Linked DNA regions of Sus scrofa. The protein of the gene in region 1 interacts with the protein of each later gene in a pairwise test. Links are inferred from orthologs where the notes say so. Each region holds a gene or a part of one and is shown on either strand. Other genes may lie near its edges.

Region 1 (3,500 bases):
TTGCGACAGCAGCTGCTGGGAGCTGAGGAGCAGATGCATGACATGCAGAGCAAGGTAGGGAGAGGCAGGCGCCCTTCACTGGCTGCTTCTCACCTTCTCCTGGCCTGTGGCAGCAACACCTCCTTTGACACGAGGCTGACGAAGGAGGCACGTGCTGTGGCAGGAGATGGTACTCCACGGGCTGGCTTGCTCGCCTGCTGGAAATATCCCAGTAAAAAGAACGCCATGCTCTGCCCAAGCCCGTTCCTGGAGTGCACGTGCCCATCGTAGTAAGTCAGCCTTCCTGATCCGTTTCCCACACAGTGTAAGAAATTGTGTTGTGAGTTGCAAGAGCTGCAGCATCATCACCGGACCAGCGAGGAGGAGCAAAGGCGGCTGCAGAGGGAGCTCAAGTGCGCACAGAACGAGGTGCTTCGGTTTCAGACTTCCCATGACGTCACCCAGGTAAACACTGACAGGGGAAGGGCATCGGGGAGGGCAGAGGGCCCACATGGAGTCGCCCCCTCAGGGGAGGCCCGACCCAGAGGAAGGCTGCATTCTGCTGACCCTTGCCCTGCAACCAGGGGTACATTCCACCAGAGAGCAGTTGGCAAAGTCACATAGCATGGCATTCTAGAAACGGTGGTCATTATCCAGCGTCTGTCCCAGAGAAGACACTAAACCATGGGCCCGTGGGAGCTCCTCAAGATGTCTGCCTCTGGAAACGAGCCACTCTGGTCTGGAGAGGGGTCTGCTGATTCATGAGCGTAACCGTTCTGTCCACACCCTCCCCACCGCAGAACGAGGAGCTGCGGACCAGACTCTGTGCCCTACAGCAAAAGTATGATGCTAGCCAGGATGAGCAGAATGAGCTCTTGAAGGTGCAGCTACAACTTCAGGCTGAGCTCCGGCAGCTCAAAATCACGAAATCCCAAGTCGTAGAAAGCCAGAGTGAGAAGGTAACACCCACCAGAGGTGAGGGGCCGCTTAGGTGCCAAGAGGCTCGGGGGGAAGGGGATAAGAGCAGAGCACTGAGATCGCGCCAGCGACCCCCTGTGCGGTGCCACAGGTGAGGAAGTCCAGGAGTCCTCCGCCAGCTGAGAGGACCCCCCCAAGTGCAGGGCAGGGGGAAGCGGGTTCTCAGACTGTCCGAGTCTGAGAGCGACTCAAGCAGAAGAGCGGCTGCGGATCCCAGAGGTACTGCCCCGGGCCCCTCCACCGCAGGAGTTACTGTGCCGGCTCCAGAAGCTGCAGCTGCAGTACCAGAACATCACGTGTGAAAAGGACAAGCTGCTGGACGTGCAGCAGCAGCTGCGGGACAACCTGCAGTGCCACGAGGCGGAGGTGCAGCACCTCAAGGGCGTCGTGGCCTCCTTCCAAGACAGCAGAGAGAAGGTAAAGGAAGCTGCAGGTGACAGAGAAGGTAGCGGCAGGCTCTCCCGTGAGTGGACCCAGGAGGAGAGGGATGGTAGGAGTTCTGTGGAGGAGCTCTTGGCGGCAAGGAGAGAAGAAGGTGCTTAGTGGAAAAGTGATCTCCGAGGGTCATGATGGGCCCAGCTTCCTTTAATTTTGAATCAGAAAATCAGCCTGTAGGGGTTCCTGTTGTGGCATAGTGGAAACCAACCCAACTAGTATCCATGAGGATGTGGGTTCAATCCCTGGCCTCGCTCAATGGATTAAGGATCTGGCGTTGCCGTGAGCCGTGGTGTGGATCACGGACGCGGCTCAGAGACCGTGTGGCTGTGGCTGTGGTGTAGGCGGGCAGCTGCAGCTCTGATTAGATCCCTAGTCTGGGAACTTCCGTATGCCACAACTACAGCCCTAAAAAGCAAAAAGCAAAAGAAAAGGAACCTGTCAAAAGGAAGCCCCTTTCCTTCGCCACCAAAAGAGGGCGTCCCAGGGTAGAGCCTGTTAGGGACTGGCCCATCGCAGGTCGTTCCCGTTGGGATGAAACCAGGACTGGAGAGGACAGGGTAGGCTCCCCTGAGTCCCTGCCTGACAGGAGGGGGTGCAGCCACAGGGGCTGCTGGGGTGACGGCAGGGTCTGCCTCCCCCGCCCCAGTACACGGAGATGCGCGCCCAGCTGCAGGAGGTGAAGCGGCTCCACCAGACCAGCCGGGATGCGCTGGAGCAGCAGAAGCACATGTACGATCAGCTTGAGCAGGACTTCCTGCTCTGCCAGGAGGAGCTGCAACAGCTCAAGACCACCCAGGCCATCCAAGAGGACAAGGGGCAATGTGCGAATAAGGTAATTGTTATTAAGAGAGGTGAGAGCTCCCGAGCCCTGGAAAGAGGAGGTATGGGGACAAAAGATGAAGTCATCCAACCGAGGGGCTTGATGGACTTCCTGTCCAGTCGCAGCTCACTGTGGAAAGGCAGGAAGCAGAGGCAGCGCCCCATGCAGTTAACTTTAAAACTTTGCCTTGGAGTTCCCGTCGTGGTGCAGCGGAAGCGAATGCGACTAGTAACCATGATCCCTCGCCTCACTTGGTGGGTTAAGGATCTGGCATTGTCATGAGCTGTGGTGTAGGTCGCAGATGCAGCTCAGATCTGGTGTGGCTGTGGCTGTGGCATGGACCGGCAGCTGTAGCTCCGATTAGACCCTTAGCCTGGGAACCTCCATATGCTGTGGGTGCACCCCTAAAAAAAAAAAGCATCAACTTTACCTTGACTTTGAGTCCAAGCCACAGTACCTCTGGATCTAGTCTGAAGATTTTATACATGATTCCATGTGTGTAGACATGTATACCTTGTTATTAGAACTGTAGTGCTACCTTGTCATTCGTGGAGAGGAACACACACATCGGCCCATGTGCATAACTCTTTTTGTCAGAGCTAGAAAGAGAAGGTGCCGTTTTCTGAGATGCTCTTGTCGAAAGGCATGGTCTGTGCCCAGAGTGCTGACTGGGTATGAGAAGGCCCTGGGCTCTTCCAGGATTTATTCTGTGCCTTCAGAGTAGTTAAATTCCAAGCGTGAATTAAGCTTTGAATTTATCTTTAAATGGAACAGAATGCTACTCTTATCTCACTTTCTTTTAGGAGAAAATCCTGGTAATGATAAGGCCTACCTTCTTCATTTTCCCCTTTTTTTTTCTATAGTGTGCCAAATGCACATCCTTAGCAGTCAGGCTTGTTGAGCACTTTCAGCTCCCGGTCACCGCTAGGAAATGGAAAGATGTTGACACATGATGGAGAAAAGGGGCAAGATTCTCAAAAGATGGTGGAGCCAGTCGCCTCCTGCCACGGCCGACAGCGGGCTGTGTCCCCAGGGAAAGGCTTTCGGAGGACACAGCGGGGGAGGTGATTTCCAGCTGCCTGTCTATACCCAGGCTCACTTTCCTCCTCCCCCCACTCCCACTTCACTGAGAGGTCTGGGGGTCCGCAGCGTGCTCATCGCCCCCTCTCCTAGCGGAAGAGACCACGAAAGGGAGAAGCTGCTGGCCTACAGAACCGGCCTCTCCTTTAGTCCTAAAACAGCAGCGAGATTAGTTGGATGTTAAAAGATTTCGGAAGATTTGGGT
Region 2 (4,145 bases), on another chromosome or scaffold:
TGATATTATTATCCTTACTGCTGTCATCATCATTTCATTTTTATTACAGTTTACAAAGAACCTCTACATCCAGTAGCTGTGCCTAGTGTTAAGTAATGGCACAAAGAAATACTCAATTTAAAATTTAATTACATGACATGTCAAGCACATGGGAAGGGGTCCGATGTCCACCATCCTCTGGCTCTTTCTGACAAACCAGAAGGCAACACGGCATCATGTATAAAAGGCGACTGGACGGATAAAAATTAATTTGTAGAGGCAAGAGTTAGTACCAGCTGGCATTTCTTGAGCACTCACAATGTTCCAGACAATTTACTAAACACTTCAGATATGTTACGATTTCTTAATCTTACTATTATAAATGCTGCCCTTGAGGAACTGAGCCCAGCCAACCTGCCCAAGGTTGCTGTTAAATTGACTCAAGAGAGCTGACTTCAGAGACCAGGCGGGCACATGACCACACGGGCAGAGCCCAGGATTGACTTCTCTTGCAAGTAAATGTGTGTAAAACATTCTGATCACTTTGCTCAGTAGGAACAGCAGAAATCACCTGCATTCTGCCCTCCTCTCTAAATACAGAAGGGCCGGAGTTCCTGCTGTGGCTCAGTGGTTAAAGAACCCAACTAGGAACCACAAGGTTTCAGGTTCCATCCCTGGCCTCGCTGAGTGGGATAAGGATCGGCGTTGCCGTGAGCTGTGGTGTAGTTCGCAGATGCAGCTCGGATCCTGCGTTGCTGTGGCTGTGGCATAGGCCCGTGGCTACAGTTCCAAATTAGACCCCTAGCCTGGGAACCTCCATATGCTGTGGGTGCGGCCCTAGAAAAAGACCAAAATAAATAAATAAATAAAAAATAAATAAATACAGAAGGGCCCTGCTCAGGCTTCACAGGCCATTTTTCCTCTGACTCAGTGATGCTCTTACAATTGTCCCAATGAGGGTCATCTAAATTCTCATTCCTAGTGAAGAACACATCTCCATGAGCTCCCAGAATTTTGTTTACATACTGACTATGGACCGACAGATGGACAGATAAATATGGAGATATATATGAGTTAATTACATAATTCCAGGATTCCCTTGAAATACAACATAACTCCCAGTTAACGAGAAACATCCCCACACCAAAAATGCTCCTTTCACTAATATCATCACCATCAACATCTCATTCAGGGTTCTTAATCTATGAATCCTAAATTGTTTGTTTGTTGTCTTTTGTCTTTTTAGGGCCACACCCATGGCATATGGAGGTTCCCAGGCTAGGGGTCTCATCGGAGCTGTAGTCACCGGCCTACGCCAGAGCCACAGCAACACCAGATCTGAGCTGAGTCTGTGACCTACACCACAGCTCACAGCTACGCTGGACCCTTAACCCACTGAGCAAGGCCAGGGATCGAACCCGCAACCTCATGGTTCCTAGTCGGATTCATTTCCACTGCGCCACAACAGGAACTCCTGAATCCTAAATTGTAAATAAATGCATATGTACACAGGCATATGCATTTTCTGGTTTGGAAAAAACTACACACTCATCAAATTCTGCAAACATTCCCCAAAATGCTAAAAATCATTCATTTAGATAGAGAGCCTCTCAAAACAAATTATATCATTATACAAACTGTAAAAGGCTTTGGGTTCTCAATGGAATATGCTCTGAAATACGATGCTTTATGATTTCATGCCAGGGTAACAGTGAAATTCCAAAGTTACACGATTCTGGCTTAAGAATACAGAGACCTATCCCCAGAGAAATTCCTTATCCGGGTGACCTTGGGAAAAATCGCCTAAAATGTCTGGGCTTGGTGCCATGATCTGGAAAATTGCTGGGTTTTGGTAAACGATTTCAGGGTTTTCTCCTCAGCTCTCTGATACTATGACATAATAGTGCCACACATGCAATGCAAAATCAGACAAAAATTACTTAAGCCGCTTACATCACTAATGAGTTTGGTGCATTTTCTGGCCAATTCCATGCTCAGGTCTTCAATAACAGGCTTAAAGAATACCTGTCCAGAAAAAAAGGAAAGGAAACATTTTTCTCATCATCAGCTTTGGGGAACAAATATCATTCTTCAGCAAGTGCTTTCTCACTTACCTTGTCTTCTTCATTTTCTTCTTCCCCTGTTTTTTCTTCTTCTGTTTCATCTTTCACATCCTCAAATACAGGGACCCTCATTTTTCCTCTTCATGTATCTATTTTTTAATTCACCAGCGTAGACCTTTTTATATACCACTGCACTCTTGAGACCTTGACTTCTCTGTGTTCTGGCAGAAATGACCTTGCCCAGACCTCCTCCCTATTTAGCTCCTACTTCACCCTCCTTATCACAACTGCGTGTGAGTGAAGGCAACAGGATCACTGAGGGTGGCCAGGGCCAGCCTCACAAACGGAAATCGCATTTTAAGAGGCAAAATTCAATTTTGCAAACTTTTAAAGTCAATATTCTTTGAACTCGCTAAACAATTCAAAGGAGATCATTCATTAATATTTCATTAATTCCATTCATTCATAAAATAGTTAGAAAAAGACTTAAAGATTCTGGGAAAACCACTCAGCTGTAACACTCAAGATAGCACAGTGCAAAGCCTATTATCTCAAAGATTCCTCAACTCCAGCTAAATAAAGCTTCCACTGGAATGTCAGACATAGCTCAGATTTGGTACAGAGAGTCTGGATCATTCAAACTCATTTCATTAACCTAAATTAAATTTTTATGAGACATATACGTACTTCTCCATTCTAAAAAAAAAATACATTAGCTGATTAAAAGCTAGTAATTTATTACAAAAAGCCCTTTGAACCACTTCAAAGAATCTCTTCCAAGTTAATTATGACTGTTAATCTTATATTGCTATTGTATTATTTTAATTGTAAACATCATTAAACATGAGAAGCTGCAGTTAACAGTTTGATACATCATTTAAGAATTCTATAAACATCGTTTCAAAAAACAATAATTACCAGTTCTGCCCATTGTGTCAATTTTTACAAATTCCCTAGTTATTTATATATTTCTCTATGTGTAACACACGCTTGGAAAAGTTTGTAAAAATAAACTATAACAATATTCATAATGTGGTATGTGTCCTTGACTGTGTATTTCTCAAAACAAATCCTTTAATGTCAATCGAGATAATTCTAAGACTATACAACTCATAATTTATCAATTTGGTTATTTAAATCCAAGGATAATTTAGTATTTCTAAAGCCATAACATATCAGTGTAGGACATTAAAAAATATCCTATGGTGAATAATGAAACTAAGGATATAAATTATAACTTTAATCAAAAAATTCATCATTCTAGGTAGACAGGTATGATGCTGTTTTCTCTTGATATCATATCTAATTTTAAATGTTCTAAATTTGCATTGGCCTTGCCTACAAATTCTGAAAAGAAAAAAATTCTACACAGTCATCATTTATAGATAATTTCTCAAATTATGTTCCAGGAGGCTAAAGTTGCACAGAATACTCTGGAGTGGAAAAGGGAGTTTCTTAAGCAGATGTGTTTGAGGAAATCTGTATAGTAATCTCTAGCCCTGTCACTTAGGGAACAGTAACACAAAATCTACATGGCACAATAACACAAAAGCTCTGAGAAGACCCACAACCGAGAAAACTATTTACGTCTGCTTAACCCAGCATGTCCCAAACATGAAATCCTATTCATCCAATATAATCTAACCTATTTATTTACCTACCTACCTACCTATCCATATACTTTTTTTTTTTTTAACAGACATCCAATACTCTATAAAACTAACATTCTTCTGTGAAATATTACTTAGGGAAACATTATTCTATTCTGAAAAAAAAAAGTTGTGTTCTATAAGAGCTGTTGATCTTTTCATGAAATGACTTTTAATACAGGCTAACTTAATGGCATCACATATCCTGCTTAACAGCAAAATGCCAAGAAGAAATGCCCCAAGCGTGCTGAAATTAGAAACCTTAACTTTAATTCACCAGTCATGTCGCGCCAGTGTAGGGAATTCTACAAGGAAATTCTCTGTGCATTCCATTTGTTTCATAAAGGAGCAGAATGTGAGACTCTGTTTGTTTCCCTCAAGTCCACTGCCAAAAGGCTATTCTAATACCCTTCAGAAGATCTATTATATTAATCTTTATTTGGAAACAGGGAAG
Region 3 (3,647 bases), on another chromosome or scaffold:
AGCAAGGGCAGGGACCGAACCCGCAACCTCATGGTTCCTAGTCGGATTCGTTAACCACTGCGCCACGACGGGAACTCCTATCCTAATTTCTTAAGTAAAAAGATCAAGGCTCAATATTATCCACTAAGGCAGATGGGTGATAAAGAATAGAAATCTTATCCTAGGGCTCAAGAGACTTCCAATGGCTCAAATGGATTGTGTTTATTAACATACCTTCTCAGAACCAATACACTTCAGAAGCATAGACCTATCACCAGAAAAATGTGGTCACACATCACCTACATGCCCTAAGTGCAGTAAGTCATGATAGAACTTTCATCATTTGATGTTTCAAAATGTAGACACTACCATTCTCCAGTGTTGTTTTTCTTCATTTTTCTTTCTTTTTTTCTTGACTGCACTGGTGGCATGTGGAAGTTCCCAGGCCAGGGATCAAACCTGTGCCATAGCAGTGATCCAGCCACTGCAGTGACAGCACCAGATCCTTAACCTGCTGACCCACCTGGGAACACCTTTCCCGTGTTTTTTAATGAACAGAGTAATATTATCGGTCTTTTTCCAAAAGTATGGAATAAAAATTAGTTTTTTATTATAAAAATTAGAATGGAAGAACTAACGGTTGGACAGCAAGACCCTGGATTTAATTTCAACATCTGGTTTTCAACATTATAGGAAGGCAATAGTGGTTCTGTGCCATTTTTATTTCTTCAGATTTTTCCTCTCCTAGGATACTCTCATATTTGTTATTATTTGAAGCTCTGGTCATGGCTCTGAATCATTTTTGCTCTTTTTCCTCCCCTAACTCTGCTTCAAAACTTCTGTAACTCATTTGCTGTGAAGTCTAGAATCTCTTCTGCAAGGGAGCTTCCTGGGTGGGCCGGACTGCCATGGACCGGAAGGATTGCTAGGGAGTCTTTACATTGCTAAGAAGTCTTGCTAATTCGCTATATAAGCTGAGTGGACTGTCAGAGAATTTTCCTTTTCCCTGATGAATTTAAGAGGTTTGTATTTTGACCTGACTCAGTGATTCTGTTTGGGTCGATTACTTTGTTACTGTTTTTTTCTCCATATATGAACGTTGCACCTAATTTTCCCTGTAATCGGTTAAAAAAGCTCAGCTGTTGATGTTTCAACTCTTTCTGCCAATAACTGCTGGCAGTGATTTAATGCAGCTGGAGAATAAACTGACAATCATTATAGCCTGCAAAGTGTGGAATATTTTCATTGCACTGTTGTGGTGGACTGATAATGCTCGGCGGATGAGAATTGGGGGGGAAGCCTGTGTTACGATAAGAGAAGCAGCAGTGTAAAAGTGGGTGAGTTCTGGGGCAGCTTAGGGCCGCTTATCCAGTCAACGCTTCTCCGGGGCTTGTTTTCATAGGAGTTCACTTTAAGTGCTAAAGGGAAATGCTTTCATCTGAGCGGGATTTTTGTGCTTCGTTCAGATTGTTTCCCCATCTGATAACAACCCTCGCTGAGTAACAGCACAGATGTGGCTCATCTGCGGAAGATGGAGGCAGAGGAGAAAAGCGCTGGGCCGGGGCGCGGAGCGGCAGGTGGTCAGTGATGCTTGCACGCCCGCCCGCTGGGTCTTCTCTTCCCTCCTATCCCACCCAAGCCGCGGCGGGCTGCCCTCCGCAGGGCGATGCCCTCACCTTTCCCTCGGCGCCGGTGCCTGCCTGGCGACTTCTCCCCGTCGGTGGACTCGCGGCCCTGCAGCAGCCCCTGCGAGCTCCCGGGGCCGACAGGGAAGCTCTTCCTGGGGGGCACCCCACCCCGGGCCCTGCGCCTTCCTCGCCGGCTGGCCTGGTGCTCAATAGACTGGGAACAGGTGTGCCTGCTGCAGCGGCTGGGAGCCGGGGGCTTCGGCTCGGTATACAAGGCCACCTACCACGGCGTGCCTGTGGCCATCAAACAGGTGAGCAGATGCACCAAGAACCGGCTGGCATCCCAGCGCAGTTTCTGGGCCGAGCTCAACATCGCTCGGCTCCGCCACGCCAATATCGTGCGCGTGGTGGCCGCCAGCACGCGCACACCCGCGGCCTTTGACAGCCTGGGCAGCATCATCATGGAGTTCGGCGGCAACGTCACCTTACACCAGGTCATCTACGGCGCTACGGGCTGTCCAGAGGAGGATGGGCCTCCCTGCAGTGCTGGGGAGCAACTGAACTTGGAGAAGTGTCTCAAGTATTCCCTGGATGTGGTCAGTGGCCTGCTTTTCCTGCACTCCCAAGGCATTGTGCACTTGGACCTGAAGCCAGCGAACATTCTGATCAGTGAGCAGGACGTCTGCAAAATCAGCGACTTTGGTTGCTCCGAGAGGCTGGAAGATCTGCGCTTCCGGCCTCGGCACCACCTGGGCGGCACGTACACCCACCGAGCCCCCGAGCTCCTCAAAGGCGAGCCCGTCACCCCAAAAGCGGACATCTACTCCTTTGCCATCACCCTCTGGCAGATGACCACTAGGCAGGTGCCTTACTCAGGGGAGCGTCAGCACGTGCTCTACGCGGTGGTGGCCTACAATCTCCGTCCGTCCCTCTCGGCGGCGGTCTTCACCGAGTCCGTCCCTGGGAAGAAACTGGAGGACATCATCCAGTGCGGCTGGACGGCCCCTGCGCAGCAGCGGCCCAGCGCACAACTCCTCCTGCTGGACCTTCGCGCTCTACAAGCTGAACTGGGCTGACCCGAAACGTGTGGCCGGATAAGCATTTGTCTTTGTTGCTGTTCATTTTTAACAAGAGAAGATGTAGGCAAAAAAAAAAAAACAAAAACAAAAACAAAAAACATAGAGGTAGGATGGATTTTTAGAAAATAAAGTTACCAAAAACTCCTTTCACCCCAAATGCTTTTCCTAAGACAAACAGCAGAACTAGAAATCTAGTGGTGTCTCTCCTTCTCCCTTTACAGAGCTCTGTGTTTGCTTCAGAGCTACTGTGCTTCCTTGCAGTTCCATAGTACTGCACTTAACTCAAATTTGTTATTGGTCTGTTAACAGTTTACTTGCTCCCGTACAAATAAGCTAAAAAACAAAGATTAATTTTTCCCTCCTGCTCTTCCCCCAAAACTACTTGTTTCTAATGATCTTCACACATACAGTTCGCAAGTTGAGGTAAGCTTGTTTTTAAAAGGAATGATACTTTAAATGATTTCTTGTGATTGTGATATTTTAAAAACTTCTGCGTGCCATGAGTAGAAATTTTGCTAAAACTTCTAAACTGGGGCCCTTTTCCTGTTGTTTGGACTCAAAAGTAGACGACAAAACAAAGATGATGTGATGGGAGAAAATACGATAGCCCTGCAGCAGAGCAGAATTTAACATTTAGCTGGAGGAGAACAGAGAAGTGGAAGCAGATCGCCCAGTCTAGACATGGAGGGCATGGCTACGCATAGATTTTTGACAAATGAGGTGACTGGATCTTGTCATGAGGACAAAACTGACTTCTATTTAGCAACAGAGTTTCAGCAAGGGCTTGATGTAGAAGCTGTGCTTGGACTGTTAAGAAGGGAGAAGCAGAAAACTTTGAAGGGGGTTAAGATGCGCAGAAACGTTTTGAGATTTGTTGGTTTGGTTTAGCTTACTTTTAGGATAAAGGAAGTGAGTTTATCTGTGACAGAATAAAGAGGGGACAAAGAGAACTGATGAAGTT
Region 4 (3,500 bases), on another chromosome or scaffold:
GGGGTCAGGTTGGGCTCAATCTATCTGAACTACTTTTTTTTTTTTTTTTTTTTTTCCTCTTTTAGGGCTGCACCTGTGGTATATGGAAGTTCCTGGGCTAGAGGTTGAATCAGAGCTGCAGCTGCTGGCCTACGCCACAGCCATGGCAATGCCAGGTCCTTAACCCACTGAGCGAGGCCAGGAATTGAACATGCATCCTCATGAATTCTAGTTGGGTTTGTATCCCACTGAGACACAATGGGAACTCCCTGAACCCTTTCTTTCTGATTCTAGGGAACCGGTAACAGCCAGGTGCCCCAGAGCAAATACGCTGAGCTGCTGGCCATCATCGAAGAGCTGGGGAAAGAGATCAGACCCACCTATGCAGGCAGCAAGAGCGCAATGGAGAGACTAAAACGAGGTAGGTCATGGGCCTGGACTCCACTGTCAGGTGACACTTTGCTTCTGGCCTAGTAACTGTCTTGAAAGATTTTCTCTCTTGAAAATGGAGGATGATGGACAGGAGAGTACCCCGCAGCACAGGACACAGGGGTTCCTGCCCTGTTACAGAATTACCCTTGGATGTGGAGGCATCAGGCAGCATGACTGGGTCTGTGGAGTGTAGACTGTCCTGAGGATCTGACAGGAAGGGTCTTGGTGGCCAGTTGTCAGATGGGGTGTCTAAGAAGGGAAGCCCTCGCCCTGCATGCTTCCCTGGGGTAAGGGTGGGTCCATCTGTCTTAGAAGGGAGTCTAGACCCAGATGGTACAGCTCTGCCCCAGGCCTGCTCTGCTCCCTTTGGCCATAGCTGGCCCCAGGGAACCCCAAGCCACCCAGTACAACAGGCTTCTCCTCTGGGCAAGGCCAGTGACTGGGGGCTGCAGGGTCCTCTGCTGTCCTCTTTTGGAGCAGTGCCCCAGGAGGCTGTGGTCTGTGCTAGTCTGGGGAGGGAAAGCAAGTAGGCTTTGAAGTTATTTCTTTTCTTTTTCTTTTTGTTGTTTTTTTTGCCATTTCTAGGGCCGCTCCCTCGGCATATGGAGATTCCCAAGCTAGGGGTCTAATCAGAGCTGTAGCCGCCAGCCTACGCCAGAGCCGCAGCAACGCAGGATCCGAGCCGCGTCTGCGACCTACACCACAGCTCATGGCAACGCCAGATCCTTAACCCACTGAGTGAGGCCAGGGATCGAACCTGAAACCCCATGGTTCCTAGTCGGATTCATTAACCACTGAGCAGCGACAGGAACTCCTGAAGTTATTTCTTGATTAGAGAGGGAGGGCACTGGAGGATGGTACCACAGGAAGAAGGTATTGCACGTGAAGATGTGACTGGCCAGCTGACTTCAGCAGGCAGTGAAATAGGTTGGTTGGGAGTGGAGGGGAGAAAAGGATTTCTATTTTAGAAGGTGGTGGTTCAGAATGTGGTGGCTTATGTGTGAATTTAATTTCAGGAGGGATTCGGGTTTTTTTGTTTGTTTTTCTGAAGGTCAGAGAAGTAACTTTGGAGAAATAGGAAAGGGAAACATTTCTTAGTTATAAATCTGGGGTGTACGGGGTGCTGCAGTTGCAGCCGTGACTTCAGTGATGGGCAAGGCTGATTGAGGTCAGGCCCCTACCCAAAGCAGTGGCCTTTACCCAGTTCATGACTCCTTTGTGAAGAGACTAACCTGTTTTGGAACTGGGTTGGGTAATAAGAGCACAGGTGTGGGGAGGGGGACTGGTAGTTAGAGGCTGGAACGAAGAGTGCGTGGAGGAGGGAGGGAGCTTACCTCCAATCCAACCCTGGGGGTCAGGTGGGCATCATGCCACCCAGTCCTGGTAACTGGGGTGTTGGTTACCAGATTGGAGATGCCTGGGAAGATGCTGGACCCCAGAGACTGTCTGACAGGTGATCTGCAGCCACCCAACAAAGCCAGCAGTTCAAGTCCATGCCTGGATACACCTAGTGATTGCGCCAGGGCAGCTAGGGCACATCCTGGGGAAGCAGCTGGTCCCACAGTCACCCTGACCAGAAGCTGAGCAGGCTTGCCAAGTTTATGTCATAGCAAGTAAAAAGGGTCATAGGGCAAGAGGGAGTCAGGCACCAAGAGGAGCCAAGACTGTTTTTTGTGGTTTTTAATGGTGAAGAAAAGAAAGATGTTGTGACATGTAAAAATGATGTGATATTCAGACTTTAGTGTCTCTAAGTATTGTTGGAACGTAGCCACACCCATTGCTTACATAATGTCTGCTGCTGTTGTCACGGTAGAGTGGAGTAGCTGTGACAGTGGCTATACAGCCCCCCCTTTAAATTAAAATATAGTTGATTTACAGTGTTGTGCCAATTTCTGCTATACAGCAAAGTGACCCAGTCATACATATATATGCATTCCTTTTCTTATATTATTTTCCTTCATGGTCTATCCCAAGAGGCTGGATATAGTTCCCTGTGCTGTACAGCAGGACCTCCTTGCTTATCCATTCTAAATGGAATAGTTTGCATCTACTAACCCCCAATTCCCCCTCCATCCCACTCCCTCCCTCTGCCTTCCCCCTTAGCAACCACAAGTCTGTCCTCTGTCTGGGAGTCTGTTTGTATAGCCCTTTACAGAAGGTCTCAAAGCTCAGAAGCTCTGGGGGATAAGATTTGTAAGGTGGGGACACCTGAGTGATTTGAGGAGTCACTCACTTCCATTGCCCTCTGGGGGTCAGCTCTTAGAAGGAATAGGTTCTCTGATCTTGGATTTCCCAGCCTACAGAACTGTGAGAAATAAATGTTTGTTGTTTAAGCCACCCAGACTATGGTACTCTGTTGTAGCTGCTCAAAATGACTAAAATAAAGGGATTTTTTTTTTTTTTAGTCTGGAAAAAAAAAAAAGGAATAGATTCTCTTGTGCCTATTAAAATGAGATCAATGTTTCATGAAGTTGAGTAAAGCCTGCCCTCCCCCTCCCAAAGAAACCCAAGCAAACAATAGATAACTCCCAAACCATAGAGATAAAAGATGATGGGCGAATAATAGTGGAATAGATGCTGCAGGTCCCCTGGGGAAGGACGAAGCAGTGGACCAAGTGAGTAGTTCTCTTGTACCTGAACCAGGCAGGCTGTGACACTGCCAGGTCCTTTCTAGACTTTAGAAAAAATAATGATTTGAGGGCATGGAATCTCCAGAGGGTTTGGCTTAAAGAACTGGGGTGGAGACACACTTACTCTTGTCATCTGGATGGTAACATAGTTTGAATAGGGAGTAATGAAAAGAGCTTCCTGGTTGTCACCTTGAGCACAGAATGAGATTTTTAAAAGAGGAGTTTTGGCTTTGAGGGGTGGGGTGGGATTTGTTAGAGCCTTTTATTTATTTATTATTTAAAGTCTTTTGTTTGTTTGTTTTGGCCATGTCCATGGCATGCGGAAATTTCCTGGGCCAGCAGTCAAATCTGCACCAAACCACAGCAGCAACCCGAGCCGCAGCAGTGACAACACCAGATTTTTTTTTTTTTTTTGTCTTTTTAGGGCCACACCTGAGGCATATGGTGGCTCCCAGGTGA
Region 5 (4,171 bases), on another chromosome or scaffold:
TGAGAAACTGAATGGACCAGCTCATCAGTGAGGGAGAAGAAAGAAGGTGGGAGGAGAAACCAGAAAGGCAGATCTGGAGTTCAGTTCAGGACATGCCCCTGGTACATCCAAATGGGGGTGTCGAGTAGGCAGAGAAAGTCGAGGGAGATCTGGGCTGAAGATACAAATTTGAGAAACCTCAGAAACCTGGGAGCGGCCTTAAAAAGCAAACAAACAAACAAACCAACCCATTCTTAGTACATTTGCTGTAGGAAAGCTAGCAGAGGGTTGGATTTGGCCATTTTGCCTATCTGGCCCTTTCCTTCACCTGGTGCTTTTTTTCTTCTTTGAGGGGGCTTTCTCAAAACACTTATCATTATTTAATAGACTAGATAATTTATTTTTTAACGCTATTAACCAGGTGTTACCTATGCCCCTCTTTTCCCTCCCAACCTCCAAGAAGGTAAGCTACAAAAGGAGGGAATCCTTGGGAGTCCCCATCATGGCTCAGCGGTTAACGAATCTGACCAGGAACCATGAGGTTGCAGGGTCGATCCGTGGCCTGGCTCAGTGGTTTAAGGACCCAGTGTTGCCTTGAGCTGTGGTGTAGGTCGCAGACGCGGCTCGGATCCCAAATTGCTGTGGCTCTGGTGTAGGCCGGCGGCTACAGCTCTGAATCGACCCCTAGCCTGGGAACCTCCATATGCCGTAGAAGCGGCCCTGGAAATGGCAAAATGACAAAAAAAAAAAAAAAAAAAAAAAAAAAGGAATTCTTTATTTACTGAGGTATTCCAGGCTCCTAGAACAGTGCCTGGTACGTGGCAGGTGATTTACTACACATTTGTTGAATGTATGCATGAATGATGTATTACTCCTGTAATTAGCAACCTACTATACAAAACAACAAACCTACAAACCTTCCGTGAGTTCCCAACCCCAAGGAGTTAGGGCCACAAACTTGGCGAGGGTTTTAAGTCCCTCAAGTCCCACCCACTTCTCCAGCCCCTCAAACCCTCAAGACCCGCCCCAACCCCCAGCCGGGCACGCGCAGTTCACTCCCCGAGACGCATCCTGCGGCCACTAGGAGACGCCCAAACCCGGCCGCCGGCGAAGCAAACACCAGTCCCACGTGACCGGCGTCGCACCCGGTGAGCGTCACGTGACGGACTCAGTTTTCCTCCAATCGTTGTGCACGTTGTGGGGATTCCACCGAAGACCTGGTTTGAGACTTACAGTACCCTATTCCCCCGCCAGCCAAACGGGCCGGCTCCATGAGCAAGCTGGGTTGCGGGGTCTCTCCAGGGTCCTCTCCTGAAGCCGGTTTGGAGAGACCTGGGCCTACAAAGTGCTCGGTCCCGGAAGTGACGTCTCCCAGAGGGGCCGGAAGTGGCAGTGGAGGGAGGGAAGATGGCGGAGGTGGTGAGTCCGGTGCCCGGGGCGGGGCGGAGGGAGCCAGGGGAGGTGGGTAGAGCCCGAGGCCCCCCAGTAGCCGACCCTGGCGCCGCGCTGTCTCCCCAGGGGGAGATAATCGAGGGCTGCCGCCTGCCCGTGCTGCGGCGGAACCAGGACAACGAAGATGAGTGGCGTGAGTGACGTCGGGGGGCGGGGCTAAGGAACCTGAGGGCGAGGGGCGGGGGGAGTCAAGCGAACCCCAGGGAGGGGGAGGGGCCTCTAGAATCTTGGGGCGGGCGGGGCGCAGATATTCACGAGGGGCGTGGCTTTTAGCCGCTGGAGATGGACAGGGCGGGGCTTGGAGAAGGGAATGACACTTGGTGACTAATGGGGGCTTGGGCGAGAGCTTCCAAGTGCTGAGGCTCAGGGATCGGGCCTGGAGGTGGAGTTCAGGTTGTAGAAGGGCGGAGCCTCATGGCCTGGCCGCTCTAAGGCCGTTCCCTGTGCTGTGCCCACAGCCCTGGCCGAGATCCTGAGCGTGAAGGACATCAGTGGCCGGAAGCTTTTTTACGTCCATTATATTGACTGTGAGTTCTGGGCCGGGATGAGGTGGGGCTAGGGTTGCGGGGGGCAGCCTCTGGCACTCCTTCCTGAGCCATCCCCACTGCTGCAGTCAACAAACGCCTGGATGAATGGGTGACTCATGAGCGGCTGGACCTAAAGAAGATCCAGTTCCCCAAGAAAGAGGCCAAGACCCCCACCAAGAACGGACTTCCTGGGTCCCGCCCCGGCTCTCCAGAGAGAGAGGTGGTGAGTAGGTCCCCTGCTTCAACTTTTCTCTCCTGCCTCCTACTTCTCTCATCTCTTGGCCTCAGTGGCTCCCAGCTGGGCAGGAGGCTGTGCCCTCCCACCCTGGCTTCAGCTCGCAAAGGATGGGGGCCAAATTGCAGATGTAGCTTCCAGAGTCCAGCGTCCTTGAGAGGGGCGGGGTTTGATCATTACACACTGAGGGGCCCCTACTCCCCTTCCCCATCCCACCACCATCCCCACCCCAGAGGAAGACCCTGGACCTATCTCTACAGCCGGCCTCCGCCCAGGCCAGCGGGAAGACCTTGCCAATCCCGGTCCAGATCACACTCCGCTTCAACCTGCCCAAGGAGCGGGAGGCCATTCCCGGTGGCGAGCCCGACCAGCCGCTCTCCTCCAGCTCCTGCCTGCAGCCCAACCACCGCTCAACGGTACCCTCAGCAATTCCAGGGACCTTGCTTTCCTCTCAGGTCCCACCTTCCCTACCTTCTGACCCACCTTTCTTGGTTTCTCTTCTGCAGAAACGGAAGGTGGAGGTGGTTTCACCAGCAACTCCGGTGCCCAGCGAGACAGCCCCGGCCTCAGTTTTTCCCCAGGTGAGTCCCCCAAACCATCTCTTTTTCCCTCCCCTTCTACCTTCTGGTAGCCCCTTTCAGGTGCATCTCACAGCTACTCCTTTTTCTTTCATCTCACCTTCAGAATGGATCAGCCCGTAGGGCAGTGGCAGCTCAGCCAGGGCGGAAGCGAAAATCAAATTGCTTGGGCACTGACGAGGTGGGTCTGGGGAAGAGGGAAGCGGGGTGAAAAGTAGGGGACAGGGGGTTCCCTAGGTGGGTAGCAATTGGAAATCAGTGTGCGCTCACTGCTGTGCCCCTGGGTTCAATTCCTGGTTTGAAAACTGAGATTCCCACATCAAGCCACTGCATGTTGTAGCTAGGAAAAAAAAAAAAAAAAAGGAGTGGACGTAGGCAGGGCAGAGAGTTCAGTGACTCGTTGGAAGATGAACAGAGTGTGCTGGGTTGAGGTGGTGTTGGGATTAGGAGTGAGGCAGAACTGGTTCAGATCAAGCATTGGGTCATCTTTTCCAGTTTCCAATGAAAATTGTCCAAGTCTTGGTTTCTTTAACTGGAAAGTAGGGGTTATGGTATCTTCCCCACTAGGAAACCCGTGGGAGGGCTGTGAGCCAGAGAGTGTCCTGCTTGAGTTGTCTCCTGTAACCTGGCGTCTTTCCGTGGCCCCGGGCAGGACTCCCAGGACAGCTCAGACGGAATACCCTCGGCTCCTCGCATGACTGGGAGCCTGGTGTCTGACCGCAGCCACGACGACATCGTCACCCGGATGAAGAACATTGAGTGCATCGAGCTGGGCCGGCACCGCCTCAAGCCGTGGTACTTCTCCCCGTACCCGCAGGAGCTCACCACCCTGCCCGTCCTCTACCTCTGCGAGTTCTGCCTCAAGTACGGCCGAAGCCTCAAGTGTCTGCAGCGTCACTTGGTAGGAAGGGTCCCAGGAGGCCGCCTTCCTAGCACCCCTGCCCTGCCCTGGCCCTGCCCCTGATTCTCCTCTCCTTCTCAGACCAAGTGTGACCTGCGACATCCTCCAGGCAACGAGATTTACCGAAAGGGCACCATCTCCTTCTTTGAGATCGATGGTCGTAAGAACAAGGTCAGTGGCTCAGGGGCCGTGGGGAGTCTTTGGTGCAGGGAGTCAAGTGAGTGGCCTTTTCCAGCTCAGGAAAGCACTGACCATTTTGGCTAACAGATCTATTCACCCCATTTATTCACTTAGGGCAGGTGTGGGAGATACAGAGTGACCAGCAATTAGACAGGATCTCTGCTGAGGGCTCACAGGAGAAGGCAGACATGCTAGGGGCTTCTTAGATCCTAGCGTGATACATGTCGTGAGACAAAGTGTGAGTTATCAGGATCCAGAGGAGGGGACCTTTGAGCCTGGGTAAGGGGGGTACAGGAATCCGAAACCATGGGTTCTGAAG
Region 6 (4,159 bases), on another chromosome or scaffold:
CAGCTGAGACCCTGGTCTGAAACTAAGGAATGATGTTGACCTTTGCTGACCCTCATTGACTTCAGTCAACTAAAGCTTGGATTCTGGCAACCTTTGCCTCAATTCTATTGTGAATTCTCTTTGGCTCAAGGCCCTTCATGAATATGCATGCACCCTTAGCTTTAAACTTCCCCAATTTTGCTGTTCCAGGATACACTGCTTGGGGAAAGACACCGCCGTGCACACGCGCGCGCGCGCACACACACACACACACACACACACCCTGCCCCGGTGTTCTTCTTACTTGCTACAAGTAATAAATTTTACCTTCTTCCAATCTTTGGCTTGGTTGTGTCTTTTGGCTTGAAGCCCACCAAGAGGTGAACCCAGTTTTCAGGTAACACTAAGGAACAATTAAAGAGTTGAAATCCAGAAGGGATTTGTCCTGGACAAGAAGCGGGACACTTCTTTCACTGCTCTTGGAGCAGAGGGAACACTGGATTTGGATATATTTGTAGGAAGAACTTTAAGTGTTTTCCTCCTGATTGCTTCTAGTTTCTCTGGGAAAGAGAAGACAAGAAGGGACTTCAGAGTGATGATGGGCAGAAATACCAGCCTTGCATAAGAACAAGAGAAGCAGCTAAGGGCACGAAAGGATTGATGGTCCAGGTGAAATTGAAAACCTGGACTTGCCCCGGCACCAATCTACATGGCTATGCGGTTTTCTTCACCACCGCAGTGTAAGTAGAGAAAGGTTATACACAAAGAAAAGGAGCGGCAAAAATTCAAATTTCCTTTCGGCTTTTTCTGAAAAGACAAAAGAGAATCCTTCCATTGACTCAGTGCCTCCGTTCACCCAGTCAAGGGGTCATCACTAATCACTGGTCTCCTGTTACTGAGTGGAGAGTCTTAAAGAGTAGAGAAAAAAGAGAAGAGGCAAAAAAACAGGTCCGCTCCTGGTCGGGTGGGAAGGAGAGGAACATTTAGCCTTCCCTAAATACTAAAAGCTGCTATATATGCCCTGGGACTCAACTTCTGACCCTTCCCCCCAAGACGCTTCCTCTTTCCCAGTACCTTACACCTCTCCCGTCGTGCCACATTCTTGCCGCATTGGGACCCTTCTCGTTGTGCTCCACCCCGCCTCCAAACTCACCTTTCCTTCACGTGGCTCTCTGTATATATCGGTCGCCTGGGAGACCCTGGCCGGGCGGAGTCTAATGACGCCACAATAGCAAAAAGCCAATAGCCGTGATGCGTCTCAGTGACGCGAAACGCGGGGTGTGACTTTGACGGCCCCGGCGCAATGAGGCAGCTGCCCGCTGGGTGGCGCCGATTTCCCGGGGAGGTCCTCTCTGGGCCCCCGGCGGAGGTGGGGGAGAGGCGGGCTGGAGCGGAGACCAGGGAGCCCTCTGCGTCAGCTGCTGCTCACTGCGCCGCTCCAGTACCAGTCAGGACTCACCCGCAGCTCCATGCTTGTGCCCGGCTCGACTCGTCCATCCTCGGAGAAGAGGCAGGTACCTGCCACCTGTCGGATACTGGGGAGGGGTGATGCGGAGGGCAGTGTTGTTTGAGGCTCAGAAAGTGAGGTGCCAACGACAGGCTGGGCAGAATGGGCACTAGAAATGTAGGGCGAGTTCCAGCTGCGCTGAAGATCTCCAGCTGTGGGTACCAGTTGTAGGGGGGAGGGGGGGCACCAGCTGACAGCCCAGGGTGCCAGGAAGAGCCATCTGTGCGCTAATCAGTGTGTTCTACGGAAACGCTGCTTGGGCAGGTCCAGGTCTCTGAGCCCTGGGTGGGATGTGGCTGAGAGTGACGCCTGGACACTGACAATCCTTTCCCCACGTGTGCGAGCAGCTCATTTACTCCCTCTGTCAAAGCTCCTGGGGGCTGTCTCTGGTCGGTTTGCCAAAGGGGGTGGGGTGGGGGGAGGGTAGCATTTAAGTGGAAGGGGAGATTTTCCACCAATCCCAAACCAGAAAGAGGCATCTTTGAAATCTTCACCAATCCCAAACCAGAAGCAGGCACGCGGTGCTCTAAGGCTAGTAACTTATATTTAACAGCCAAAGGGAGCCCTGGCCAATCCATTCTAGTTGTCCTCTAAGGAGTGAGCATCTACCTCCTGACCTGGCTGCTCTTCGAATGGGGCCGAGTTGGAGATCCTGCTGCTGCTCGCCTCCCCAGGCACAGGCATGAGAAGGTCCCCCAATGAGAACCCAAGGAAAAGGAGAGCTGGTTGAGCTGGGGTTGGATCAGCCACCCCTTCTCTGATGCTGTAGATAATGTCAAGCCGGGGTCGGAATGAGGACTGGAATGAGGGCCGGGGACAAGGGCGTCCTCTGAAGTGCATCATCAGGACCGGAGCTGAGTCAGTAGCCTCTGCTGAGACAGGGTGGAGGCCCCATCTTGGGTACTCCCAGTCCTCAGGGAGAGCCATCGAGAAACAGGCCAGACAGACTGGGAGCAGACCAGAGCACCAAGAGCCGAGAGGTTAAGAATCCTGCTCCTTCCTCCTGTGACCCTGCCCAGCCAGCCCCACTCCTTGGGCTCCGGGATCCTGAGCACTCCTACAGGTAGAGTGGAACTGCCCCAGAGCAGCTGGGCTTGCTCCCGGGAGCCCCGGGGAAGCTGCACTTGCTGTATTTTTCTAGGCAAAGGAGGAAGGAGCCCAAGAGGGCCCGGCCTTTTGCCGGTGGGTGGACTGGACATCTGGGAATGGGGCAAGCCTCGTTTGCCTTGCCACTTATGGGACACAGACCTGCTCAGAAAACCATGGCATTAGAACAGCACTCCCGCGGGGTAGCCTGGAGGCCCTTTTCTCCCTAGCCAGGTTCCCCCGAGGGTGCTACTACAAAAACTACCTCTAATTATAAGTGGAAGTATTCAATATAGTAATAATTACCATTTATTGAGCTCTTACTAGGTGCCAGGAAATTTACAAATATTATTTAATCCTCACACCTGTGAGGTATAACATTATTATTATTATTATTCCCATTTTACAGACTAAATAAGGTTCAGAGGGCTTAAGGGACTTGCCCACCGACTTAGAGCCAATAAAAGGGAAAGAAAGAATACAAGCCCAGGCTTAGAAGTCCATTATAAATGAGAATGGCCTGGGAACCTGAGGAGGTCTCACCTGCCTTTGTATCCGTGTGCCCTTGAGCACGCTGCTGTCTGCCTCTAGGGCTCTTCCATCTCAAGAGTAAAGCAGGCAGACAAGCACTGAGGCTTCTTCCTCTCCTCCAGTTTTGTGACTGGCACCTCCTTCTCCATATTTTTGCCTCCATTCCACCCCCATCCCTCTACCATCTTTCCAGTTCTATTTCCCCTTGAATCCCCCTTCTGTCCCATTTCAAAATCCCTCCCTTCAAACAGTCTTGTAGGATCTTGCCTGGCACGGGCCCACCTCAAGGGAGGGCCTGCCACTGCCCCTTTAATTCTGCCCAGGCTTGGAATGCCAGTGAGTGGAGCTAGCCATCTCCGTGAGGTCAGATAAGATACTATATATATCGGAGTCAGTAACCTGAGCTCCGGATTACCCGGCCCCAAGTCAGACTCCTGCCTCTGGGCTCGCCACTGCACTCCCTGCCCTGCTGGGGAAGGAGAAGCCCCCAGATCCCATCCCGTGTCCCTGGACACAGGTCAGTAGCTGTCCCTTTGCTATCCAAACTTCACAGGGCTGTTGTCCAGAGGGCCCTGGACTGTCTGTTTGGGGGAGCCCTGTCTGTTTGGGGGAGCATGTGAGAGGCTGCCCCACCTGGCCTGGTAGGTGCTATGAGCAAGACCAAAGGCTCAGAGACCAGGAAGAGGAGAGGAAGCCCTAGAGGAGAGAGGGAGCCTGGGGCTCTCCTGTGGGGTGGGGGCACCCAGAGGGAGGTGGTTGGAAAAGAAGACCTGAGGACTCCAGTATTGCCTGGGGGCCTATATCTTTGCCTTTTCTTGGAAGTGTAGCAATGCCCACCCCCTCCCAACCCCAAATCAAGAAGCGCCCTCTAGAGACGCCACCCTCAGCCCACCCAGCTCTTCTCCAGGCAGGATTCTGGCTCTAATCTCTGGTCTCTTTATCTAACCTCTTTGCCCCCTCCGATCCCTTGGGCAACTACTGGGATTGAGAGAGACTGAGAGGGGCCCCAATCCCCTTGGATGACCCCCTTCCAAGGCATCTGCAACTGGTGGGTCA
Region 7 (3,130 bases), on another chromosome or scaffold:
CTTAGCCAGTGTATCCTATGTGGGATGATGAAATGGCTGCCCCAGTGTTCCCTGGATGCCTTGTAGGCCCACTTGTTAGACCAGTGAGGGCCCTGGCTCCTTGGTAATTAAGAGTTAACCTTGTTCCACGCTCCCAGTTACGGTTACTGGTGACCTGATTTCCAGATCATCTTGTTTTTTCCAGATTATGATGATGGCTTTTCAATGAAGCATACAGCCACTGCCCGTTTCCAGAGAAACCACCGCCTCATCAGTGAAATCCTCAGTGAGAGTGTGGTGCCAGACGTCCGGTCTGTTGTCACAACAGCTAGAATGCAGGTCCTCAAACGACAGGTCCAGTCCTTAATGGTTCATCAGGTAAAGTCACAGACCATTTGGTACAATAAAATGTGCCTAGGCCACAGGTGCCAGGCGACCTGATTCTGTACCATGCGTCCGTGTGCCTCTTAAATTTATGTTCAGTCTGACCTGTTCCTGATTCGGGGAAGAGGCTTGAGGGAGTAGCTAAGTTTCCCAGAGATTTAATAAGTTTGTCATTAAAACGGTGACAGAGCCTTTTGGCAGAGAAAGTATTTGCATTAAGAATTTTGAGACATCCTAATAACTTCTACGGCTGTCATAAATATTTTTTTCCATAGAAATCCCTGAGGCCAGAAACCATATGCCTCAACATGTACCTCTCAGTCGTTCCTCTCCACTGCATTTCACACTTTTTAAACCTTAGCTGGACACATGTGATAAATAATTTAAATGAAAAATTCAAAACATCTATCCCACTATGAGAAAGTATGGACTCTTAAAAAAAGAAGATTTTCTGTGTTTGATATTTGCTCTCGAGAAGATACTCGGTAGTAACAAAGCCTGGTCATATGTTTTACAGCGAAAGCTGGAAGCTGAACTTCTTCAAATAGAGGAGCGACATCAGGAAAAGAAGAGGAAATTCCTGGAAAGCACAGATTCATTTAATAATGAACTTAAAAGGGTATCAGTTTTAATATGTTAATTATGCTTTTATCACTGTGTTTTTTCCGAAAAGAGTGTTTTTAAGGAACGTTGTTCACTTTGAAACAGTGTTAACTTTGCTATAACTGGTAAGATGTTTGCACGGTAAAATAATTCCCATTTTCTGGCAAAACTACAATATGTTTGAAATATCATGTAGTGTACACGTATGTACTGGGCCTTGGACTCTAGAACCCTCTGATGTTTTAATGTACACTCAGGCAGTCATAAATTATTTTCATTTTTTTTGCAATTTTTTCATTAAAGGTCTTCATTAGCTGTAGTTCACAATTTGTACTTTTTTTTTTGTCTTTTCTAGGGCTGTACCCACAACATATGGAGGTTCCCAGGCTAGGGGTCTAATCGGAGCTGTTGCTGCCTGGCCTACACCACAGCCACAGCAACGCAGGATCCGAGCCGCGTCTATGACCTACATCACAGCTCACGGCAGCACTGGATCCTTAACCCGCTGAGCGAGGCCAGGGATTGAACCTGCAACCTCATGTTCCTAGTCGGATTCATTAACCACTGAGCCACGACGGGAACTCCGTACTTTGTTTTAAGACATTAAAAGTAATGTTTGGCAGCCTGAAATATAAAATGGGAGGTTTGTATATAAAACAGTACTTTTTGGGGGTTGGTTTTTTTGTTGGTCTTTTTAGGGCCGCACCCACAGCATATGGAAGTTCCCAGGCTAGGGGTCGAATCGGAGCTGCAGCTGCTGGCCTACACCACAGCCACAGCAACTCGGGATCCAAGCCACATCTGCCACCTACACTGAAGCGCCTGGCAATGCCGGATCCTTAACCCACTGACCAAGGCCAGGGAACAAACCTGTGTCCTCATGGATGTTGGATTTGTTTCCACTGAGCCACAGCAGGAACTCCCTCTCCTGTGATCCTTGATGTCACATGGCTGCGAGGGCAACTTTTTCTGCAGACCTGAGAGCTTCAGAGAAGACCTCCAGCTTCTTTTTTTCTGCCTTATACGTGTGTACAGTTCTTAGCCAAGGAAACTCACTTTTGAGACAGTGTCTCTGGTTCAGAGATTATGAGGAAAGAACATCACTAAGAGAGCTTCTTGGGTTTTGTTTTCTATTAGTTGTGTGGTTTGAAAGTAGAAGTGGATATGGAAAAAATTGCAGCTGAAATTGCACAGGCCGAGGAACAGGCTCGCAAAAGGCAGGAGGAAAGGGAGAAAGAGGCAGCCGAGCAAGCCGAGCGCAGCCAGAGCAGTATCGTTCCTGAGGAAGAGCAAGCAGCTAATAAGACGGAAGAAAAGAAGGAAGACGAAAGCATGCCAGTGGAGACAGGTAACCTGCCAGGTCACACCACCATGAAGGTCAACCCAGGGTCTCTCCCGCTGTCTTTAATTCCGCTTTCCCTTTCTCGGTGCTGCTCGGACATCGCTCTGTTAATCTTGCCTCTTGAGTTCTTCTCCATCTGACCCTCCCACTTCTTTGCACATCTTAACCTCTCACAGTAGATTCACTTAAACCGATGGTTTTGGTTCAAAACAGCAGTGATGTGTTGTCTTTAGTGTTGCTGTTTGAGGTCTTTGCCTGGATTGATTCGTGTCATTCCCTGGCTTGAGAATATGAAGCGTGATGCTATAAACGGTTAAGGATACAGACAGATCTAGGTCTACTGCTGCTGCACCACTGCTAGCACTGTGACTTTGGGGAAATTATTTAGTCTTAGTTTCCTCATTTCTGAGCATTCTAGCTCCTGTATCTGAGAGAATTCTAAAGGATAAATAAGAAAATGTACATAAAAGCATATAACTGGATTTGATGTGGTGTAAACACTCAAGATTTTAACCTTTTTGCGGAAGTTATTCAAACAAGATGTGGTCATTGCTCTTAAGTCATCTTTGGTGTCTTAGAACAGGCTTGGGCAAATAAAACCTGCAGCCAAATCCTGCCTGCCACCTGTTTTTGTAAATTAAGTTTTGTTGGAATCATTTGTTTACATATTGTCTGTGGCTGCTCTGGGGCTACAGCAGTAGAGTTGGGTAGTTTCGGCAGAGACTGCCTGGCCCACAAAACCCAAAATATATTGACTAGCCTTCGCAGTAAGCAGTAAGTGTTTGTTGACTCCCTCCTGGAGGAATTCAGACTTCCAGATCT

What was found.
Region 2: the proteins of CCDC136 (region 1) and NEBL interact in a two-hybrid assay, tested with the Homo sapiens proteins (2 studies listed by BioGRID and IntAct). The two-hybrid records come from large-scale screens. The link is inferred for Sus scrofa from reciprocal best matches to the Homo sapiens genes CCDC136 and NEBL.
Region 3: the proteins of CCDC136 (region 1) and MOS interact in binary tests that used the Homo sapiens proteins (3 or more experiments, as listed by UniProt). The two-hybrid records come from large-scale screens. The link is inferred for Sus scrofa from reciprocal best matches to the Homo sapiens genes CCDC136 and MOS.
Region 4: the proteins of CCDC136 (region 1) and CDK2AP1 interact in binary tests that used the Homo sapiens proteins (3 or more experiments, as listed by UniProt). The two-hybrid records come from large-scale screens. The link is inferred for Sus scrofa from reciprocal best matches to the Homo sapiens genes CCDC136 and CDK2AP1.
Region 5: the proteins of CCDC136 (region 1) and KAT5 interact in binary tests that used the Homo sapiens proteins (3 or more experiments, as listed by UniProt). The two-hybrid records come from large-scale screens. The link is inferred for Sus scrofa from reciprocal best matches to the Homo sapiens genes CCDC136 and KAT5.
Region 6: the proteins of CCDC136 (region 1) and USP2 interact in binary tests that used the Homo sapiens proteins (3 or more experiments, as listed by UniProt). The two-hybrid records come from large-scale screens. The link is inferred for Sus scrofa from reciprocal best matches to the Homo sapiens genes CCDC136 and USP2.
Region 7: the proteins of CCDC136 (region 1) and SMARCE1 interact in binary tests that used the Homo sapiens proteins (3 or more experiments, as listed by UniProt). The two-hybrid records come from large-scale screens. The link is inferred for Sus scrofa from reciprocal best matches to the Homo sapiens genes CCDC136 and SMARCE1.

The regions. Positions count from the first base shown.
Region 1 is NC_010460.4:19,806,738-19,810,237, reverse strand, and holds part of CCDC136 (coiled-coil domain-containing protein 136), read left to right. Parts: coding exon 1-54; intron 55-303; coding exon 304-444; intron 445-779; coding exon 780-938; intron 939-1,203; coding exon 1,204-1,374; intron 1,375-2,041; coding exon 2,042-2,227; intron 2,228-3,500. UniProt on the Homo sapiens protein: May play a role in acrosome formation in spermatogenesis and in fertilization.
Region 2 is NC_010452.4:53,838,826-53,842,970, reverse strand, and holds the start of NEBL (nebulette), read right to left. Parts: upstream 2,801-4,145; 5' UTR 2,175-2,800; coding exon 2,094-2,174; intron 2,005-2,093; coding exon 1,933-2,004; intron 1-1,932. UniProt on the Homo sapiens protein: Binds to actin and plays an important role in the assembly of the Z-disk. May functionally link sarcomeric actin to the desmin intermediate filaments in the heart muscle sarcomeres.
Region 3 is NC_010446.5:75,737,930-75,741,576, forward strand, and holds MOS (proto-oncogene serine/threonine-protein kinase mos), read left to right. Parts: upstream 1-1,472; 5' UTR 1,473-1,645; coding exon 1,646-2,683; 3' UTR 2,684-3,147; downstream 3,148-3,647.
Region 4 is NC_010456.5:29,637,584-29,641,083, forward strand, and holds part of CDK2AP1 (cyclin-dependent kinase 2-associated protein 1), read left to right. Parts: intron 1-273; coding exon 274-400; intron 401-3,500. UniProt on the Homo sapiens protein: Inhibitor of cyclin-dependent kinase CDK2. Also acts as a component of the histone deacetylase NuRD complex which participates in the remodeling of chromatin.
Region 5 is NC_010444.4:6,569,420-6,573,590, reverse strand, and holds the start of KAT5 (histone acetyltransferase KAT5), read left to right. Parts: upstream 1-1,371; 5' UTR 1,372-1,386; coding exon 1,387-1,564; intron 1,565-1,889; coding exon 1,890-1,958; intron 1,959-2,044; coding exon 2,045-2,181; intron 2,182-2,453; coding exon 2,454-2,609; intron 2,610-2,699; coding exon 2,700-2,774; intron 2,775-2,877; coding exon 2,878-2,952; intron 2,953-3,423; coding exon 3,424-3,672; intron 3,673-3,753; coding exon 3,754-3,843; intron 3,844-4,171. UniProt on the Homo sapiens protein: Catalytic subunit of the NuA4 histone acetyltransferase complex, a multiprotein complex involved in transcriptional activation of select genes principally by acetylation of nucleosomal histones H2A and H4.
Region 6 is NC_010451.4:46,587,555-46,591,713, reverse strand, and holds the start of USP2 (ubiquitin carboxyl-terminal hydrolase 2), read left to right. Parts: upstream 1-1,359; 5' UTR 1,360-1,489; exon of another isoform or gene 1,490-1,493; intron 1,494-3,500; exon of another isoform or gene 3,501-3,620; intron 3,621-4,159. UniProt on the Homo sapiens protein: Hydrolase that deubiquitinates polyubiquitinated target proteins such as MDM2, MDM4 and CCND1. Isoform 1 and isoform 4 possess both ubiquitin-specific peptidase and isopeptidase activities.
Region 7 is NC_010454.4:21,801,410-21,804,539, forward strand, and holds part of SMARCE1 (SWI/SNF-related matrix-associated actin-dependent regulator of chromatin subfamily E member 1), read left to right. Parts: intron 1-184; coding exon 185-357; intron 358-880; coding exon 881-982; intron 983-2,103; coding exon 2,104-2,314; intron 2,315-3,130. UniProt on the Homo sapiens protein: Involved in transcriptional activation and repression of select genes by chromatin remodeling (alteration of DNA-nucleosome topology).